Linked DNA regions of Mus musculus: region 2 is reported to be linked to region 1. The links are microRNA targets in miRTarBase. Many come from high-throughput screens and were not tested one by one. Region 1 holds a microRNA gene; the other region holds the end of a gene's coding sequence.
Evidence for each region. Region 1 holds the annotated microRNA mmu-miR-141-5p (CAUCUUCCAGUGCAGUGUUGGA, at 1,799-1,820, opposite strand). A microRNA usually pairs through its seed, bases 2 to 8, with sites in the 3' UTR of a target mRNA and lowers its output. Matches are read on the target gene's strand: a 7mer-m8 pairs with bases 2 to 8, a 7mer-A1 pairs with bases 2 to 7 and ends in A, and an 8mer does both.

Region 2: the mRNA of Sdc2 is a reported target of mmu-miR-141-5p. The part of its 3' UTR that is shown has no 7-base or 8-base seed match.

Annotation. Positions count from the first base shown.
Region 1 is chr6:124,716,161-124,719,561 of GRCm38, forward strand. Mir141 (microRNA 141) reads right to left here and starts at 1,825; the gene lies at 1,754-1,825. It overlaps Phb2 (prohibitin 2), which reads left to right. Exons shown (of 10, transcript NM_007531.2): 9 at 265-270; 10 at 446-785. The coding sequence ends at 473. It overlaps Mir200c (microRNA 200c), which reads right to left and starts at 2,230; the gene lies at 2,162-2,230.
Region 2 is chr15:33,031,630-33,034,977 of GRCm38, reverse strand. Sdc2 (syndecan 2) reads right to left here. Exons shown (of 5, transcript NM_008304.2): 5 at 257-2,601. The coding sequence ends at 2,438. Among named protein-coding and RNA genes, the nearest start is that of Gm32764, 37 kb to the left of the region's middle.

The DNA of each region.
Region 1 (3,401 bases):
GTTCCTATCTTGCATCTTCTAGGACTGACTTTATAAAGCAAAGCAGGATGTCTTATGGGAAAGGCACTTTATAAATATCTAAATGAGAAGTGACGACTGGTAGCAATTTCACGTGAGACCCACGTTGCTGGGACCGCACAGATAGTGGCAAAGAGCCGTCCTCACTGGGGAGTGCGGGTCTGGAGCAGCTGAGCCTGTAGCTGACTAACGATTTATTTCTCTTTTCACATATTTCCTGCTCACTTCATGGCATGCTGGTTGCAGGGGAAGGTAAGTGGCTGCCTCCTTGCTATGGGGTCCTGGGGGCCATCTGCTTCCTGGACCTGCCCCTACACCCCCTTTCTCCCCATTGTCAGGCCTTTATTTAGGAAGAAGCTGTGGTTTGGGGTGTTGTGCACCTCACACTTACATCCCCGATAATAGGAATGTTCCCTTTGTTCTCCAGTGACAGCCTCATTAAGGGTAAGAAATGAGTGTGGACATCAAGAACCCCACCACCAGAGAAGTTGGCACACTTGTCCAGCTTGGAGGAGCCAGCTCGGGGGTCAAGCACAGCCCACCCTGCCCCAGGCATCATGTGATGGACTTTTCTGTATCTGCCCTCTTGGATTAAGGAAGACTGAGACCAGCCCTTTCAGAGGCTTTCCTCCTTCCTGTGTTGGCTGGGAAGCGGGGTGGGACAATGTGATTTCTCCGTGATTTCCTACAGCCTTGAGCCTCTCCCAGAGTGGGGGAGATAACCACCATGCCAGGAATTCTCAATAAAATTTTTATTACTTAAAGCCAAAAATTTTGTGTCTGAGTGTGTACGTAGATTGCGCGAAGACATTGATCACACTGGGACTCGGCCAGCAGAGGGCACAAGCAGTCTGGCCTGTAGCATTCGGACTGCCGCCGGGTCCTCAACAGGACCTAAGCTGGGAGCAGCCGATCTCAGGCCCAACTACACCTTCACCCCACCCGCAGGTCTACCAAATGAACCCACAGACTTAATGACATCTTTTTAAAAGCTGAAGCAGCTGAGGCTTTGCTGAGCCAAACTAAAAACGTGATGACCCCAGGGGGAGCTGCTTCCTTGGTAACCAGCTCCTGGTTAGCTCCGGGAGATGGCGTGTTCCTCCCAAGGGTTTCCGTGTTCCTAAGTCCCGGTGTGCTGTTACTTAGTCACCAGGTACGATGAGCTATTTGCACTGAAGTTTCTCCCTGTGGAGGAGGCCTTCCCACCCCCACAGCCCGGGAGCCCAACTGAACCTATTTTCCACAGACTACCTTTCTTACGAAGACCGAGTCTCCAGTACTGGGGAAATCAAGCCATTGCTCACGGACTTCGCTAGAACCGTTGCCTTGGTTTTTTCCTTCTGGGCAGACAAGAATACAATAGAGGAAGGGTGAGCCTGACTGGGCGAGAGGGTGCAGCAGAGCTTCAGCTCCTTGGGTTCTTAGAGGAAGTAGGTCTCTCCTGAAGCCTAAGACAGACCACCGAATGGACCGGAATCGTATCCCACGTTCCCCATGGACATTCAGGTTCCCAGGGTGAAAAGACAACGGAAGCCAGCGTCTTGGGACCAAATGTGTTTCCAAATCTTGCTGCTGTTCTGAAGGCAGCCATTTTGTCTCTTTCCCATTGTTCCCCTTTGCCAAGTGATACACACACACACACACCCATCCAGAAGGTTAAAGGTCAGAGGCTGTTGGCCTGGAGGCCTAGGTGGTCTTCAAGGCTCCAAGGTCACTGCTGAAGGAACTGACCCGGGGGCCATCTTTACCAGACAGTGTTAGGAGCTTCATACTTCAACCATCCAACACTGCACTGGAAGATGGACCCAGAGCCAGCCAATATAAATTGATCTACCGCTGATCAAGCGCTAGAGGGAAGCCGCTGCTGGCTGGCTGACTGTGGCCTCTTGTGTGCGCGTAGACAATCCCAAGGCCAAGGTCTGCTTCTAGTAGGTTCTGGATCTACCAGATGACAAATCACACTGGATTGGAGGAGGGGCTGGGGCCATTGTGTTCTTCCAGTGGGCAACCAGCCAACCCGAGAGCCACCCTTAACTCGGAAGAAGGGGCTTCCAGGTTATGTGTGGGAGGAATGGGTTGCTGCCAGATAAAAGTGCCTAAAGCGATGGACGCGCAATGGACGCCGATGACACTGGGACAGGGGCCTCCATCATTACCCGGCAGTATTAGAGACTCCCAACCAGCACCCAAACACTGCTGGGTAAGACGAGGGCCCCTACCCAACCAGTCCACCTTCAAGATCAGCCCTGGCTAAGCCCAAGCCCCTCAAGAGAAGCGGCAGATCTCCTGCTCCCATCCCCCACCTCCGCGTCATTTGGGACACTTCCGGGAGAGCCTGGCTGCTCCCCACCAGGCCTACCCTGACTTGCCCATCACTGAGGCCAAAACCAGCTTTCTGTAGCCTCTACTATCCACCTGCGAGCCAGTCCCCCCCCCCCCATTCCACGGCCTGTCCCTGCCCTCCAACACACCCATTTACTGCGTTCTACCGTCGCTAGCGCAGCCCCAGGACCCCCCTGATCGGTGGCCTTTACCTGGCACCAGACCCGCCTGACCCCTAGAGTGGTGCAGAAGAAAGAAAGGTGTACCAACGGCCCGGATTCAGCCGCCTAGAGCCGACTTGGCCTCCACTCTCGCTCTTCCTCCTTCACCTGCCGGGCAGCACAGGCGCCTCACCTGGGCCCCGCCCGCCTCTGCCCTGCGCACAGGTGTGTCCTCCTGCCATAGGCTGCCCCCCTCTCCGCCTTAACCCCTTCCCTCCCAGCACCAGCCCTGGGCACCTCCTCTTGAGGCCTGGCCACCCCGCCAGGCCTCCCGCCCTTTCTGGCCGCCTTTCTTCTTCTACCTTGTACTTTCCCTGTTTCTAAAGGAATAAAGAAAGAGGCCATCTTTGGATCCCCTTCCAGCGGCTCCTTCCTCCCAAGCTAAAACACCCTCTTCTCTGAGGCCTCTCCAACCCTGCTCTCAGCCAGAGTCAGAGGACCAGCCCTGAGGTCAGTGTGGGGTCAGCTAGGCAGGCATTGGTCTGTGTCCCTGTCCAGGGCTCAGACAGGGCCGGGCAACAACCCCTTGAGAACTGGGAAGGGAGGAAGCCCCAACAGACCTGTGGATCGCCAAGCATTGCGCCGGATCTTTGGTTTTACCCTGAGATGGCAGTGTCTGCCTGGGCCCAAAGGCCTCCCTTCCCGAAACTCCTAGCCCTACTGCAGCTAAACCAGGAGAGACGGTCCTTGCAACCCACCTCTGATCTGCAGAGCCCTTTTCTCAGTTGGCCCTCAAAGAATTAGTCCGGGGCAGTTAAAGGACTAGATCCTGTCTTTCTTCTGTGTGGTTCTGTGTTGCTGGGAGAGGGGCCCTGCAGGCACACAGGTGATGGCCCCACC
Region 2 (3,348 bases), not on the chromosome of region 1:
TGCTACAGTCTCTCAAACAAAAAGCAATACTCACACAGGGAGTTTGTTCACATGTGCTTTAAAAAGCAGGAAATACCACACTGGCTTTAATATTTATGTTTTACCAAAATTTTTCTCAACTCAGTAATGACTAATAACAGTTTTATGATATTATTTACCATATCTTTAAAGTTTTTTGTTTTTTGTTTTTTTAAACCACACTAAGCAGAGAGTATACAGAAAATTGGATGTGAGTCTATACAATGAGTTACTTTCGGCATGACAGACTTTATTTTGGCACTTTTAACAAATGTGCTTTACAGCAGTGACAAAATATTTGCCAGGATTTTTTTTTCCCTGGCATAGATATTCCAAGCAAGTTATTCTACAAATTAAATTCCACTGTTTCACACAGTTAGAGGTATACCCACTACATTCTCAGCCTCCGTAATTGAGGGGCATTGTGCAGCTTTGGAAGGGCCCATCATTTCCTTTTAACATGGTGAATTACAGCTGTAATTGGACAGAAAGGTATGAATTAAGGCCATTAAAGATTCAGACACAGCACTGTTTCAAGTGTTACTTTAGTTTTGTTTAAATGTGTTCTGTGACAAGCTCAGGGAAGGTGCTCAAACGAAGTAGCCAAACTTTATCAAAAGTTAATTTTATGCTGGAAAAGCTGCGGATCTTGCTGTCTTCTTTCTACTTCCATGGCTCACAGTTTAAAACTAAAAACTAATGGTAAAATAGAAAACAGAACAAAAAAAGGAAATGCTCTGTTCAGTGAGTACCCAATCGGGGCACCCCCATGCCTCCAACTCCTCCTCTGGCATTACCTTTTCTAGAAACATCCATCTTAAGCAGCCAGGCTGTCATTCAACAGGCAGAGCCCCCTACCTTCCCTCCTACCCCATGGAGTGGCTGTGGTTGTCACTTACAGGGTTCTTCTGTAGGGGAGCTTTGACAGGTAAGCAATTCTATAGGTCTGTTCCCCAGACACCTACTTCTAGAAAGGTCGCTTTGCTTCTTTGGAATTTATACTTTTAAGAGTAAATTGCAAAAGAAGGCATCTCTCTCAATATTGTCAGTAGCTACACTACAAAGGCTGCAAACCTTGAAATCCCCTGGCAGTCATCCTATTCCTGCACCCAAATACATGCAGAATAACAATACTTTTCCTCTGAACAATTTAGAGGTAAATCTCGTAATTAACAGCCTCACTGAGGGGTTCTTTGGTCTTGATTGACAGACACCATGAGATACTCAGAAACCAAACCCATATAGTCACTGAGAGCAGACGGTCAGTCACAGCAAGGGGAGATGTACATTTGGTAAGAAATGTACAAAATTTATAACAGTGACATTTTCAATATTAGGCCATGTGATTTATTCAGCAGGTTTTTTTGTTGTTTCCAAATTACAATTTATGTCTATTCATAAGACTACAAAAGTTACCATTAGAATTGTCTGTGCTTATAAAATACCAACTTTTTAAAAACTGTTATATATACTCATTAACACCAGTCCGCAACAAGTTACATAGAATCATAGGCACTTCAAAGGCTTAAAAAGATGTTTGCAATTTAAATGCATGTTAAGAACAAAAACTGATCTTTTTTTTTTTTCTTTAAACTCTTTCTCGTACCTTCAAATGACAAGAAATTAACAAGTACAGTGGCCAGAGGAATCTGCAGCAACTTCTCAAAATACTGTTAGCATCTTTGGGTTTGCTGAGGCTTGTCCGTTATGTCAAATCCTCCCAAAAGAAGATAGCTAGGACTAAACAGTTTCGTAGTAATAATCCAATTTTACACATTAATTTGCCTTTGCAAATCTGCCTGAAGCTACAAGTAATGAAATTTAAAGCAAGCATAAAATGGATAGTCTGATATTTAAAAACATTATATAAAGTGGAGGTTAAGGTTAACATATTTGAGAAAAATCACATATACACTAAATTACCATTATTGTAATCATTCAAAGACAAATTGCACCATGACAGCTACAAAAGGCATAAGGTTTTGTTTCTAAGAAAGGTGACAAGAAGGGAGGGTAGAGAAGAGGGACAAGAGATAAATAAATGAAGACCAACTCAGTAAGGTTAACTGGAGACTTGCTGACAAGGGGGAGTAGCAGTCATCTTTGAACCAGAGGACAAACACAATCATTTTGTATTTGCACATAGATGTTCAAATCAATTCCATGAATGTCAGGGGTTTTCATAACATAATATTTTGCCACTGCTATTCACAGAACACTGCAGATGTTAGATTTTTACTTTTATGTCATTCTAAAGAAATACACGAAAAAATTTAAATACAATGGAATTCTCATCATTAAAGGGCCAGTATGGCTCTGTAATGAACAAAACAGATAACAAAGATCTTCATTATTCTATGCCAAAGCTTTATTTTGAAAAGTTCAGTGCTCTCCTAAATAGAGACACTAAATGGGAGCTTTATGCATAAAACTCCTTAGTGGGTGCCTTCTGGTAAGCTGCGCTGGATGGTTTGCGTTCTCCAAGGTCGTAGCTTCCTTCATCTTTCTTCCGCATGCGGTACACCAATAGCAGGATGAGGAAAATGGCAAAGAGAAAGCCGATCACACCACCAGCAATGACGGCTGAGATAAGAGAAGAAAAAGAGAAGGTCAAGGCTTTCAGGAATTAGTTTGGCCAGTTCCAACCTATTGATATTTTTATAAATGATTTGAGAACTCAAGTTTTTTTTTTTAATTATTATATATTTTCTTTACTTACATTTCAAATTTTATCCCCTCTCCTCATTTCCCCATTCGACTGCACCCATCCATTCGCCCTCCCCCCTGCTCCCTAACCCACAGACTCCCACTTCCCTGTCTTGGCATTCCCCTACACTGGGGATACACTGGATAGCCTTAACAAAACCAAGGGTTTCTCCTCTCATTGATGTCTCACAAGGCCAACCTCTGCTACATATGCGGCTGGAGCCTTGAGTCCTTCCATGTGTACTCTTTGGTTGGTGGTTTAGTCCCTGGAAGCTATGGGGGTACTGGTTGGTTCATATTGTTGTTCCTCCTATTGGGCTATAAACCCCTTCAGCTCTTTGGGTCCTTTCTCTAGCTCCTCCACTGGGAACCCTGTGCTCAATCCAATGGATGGCTGTGAACATCCACTTCTGCATTTGTCCGACACTGGCAGAACCTCTCATGAGACAGCTATATCAGGTCCTGCCAGCAATTGATTGTTGGCATCCACAATAGTGTCTGGGTTTGGTAACTGTATATGGGATGGATCCCTAGGTGGGACAGTCACTGGACAGACTATCCTTCAGTTTCTGCTCCAAACCTGGTTTCTGTATCTCCTCTCAGGGGTATTTTGATCCCCCTTCT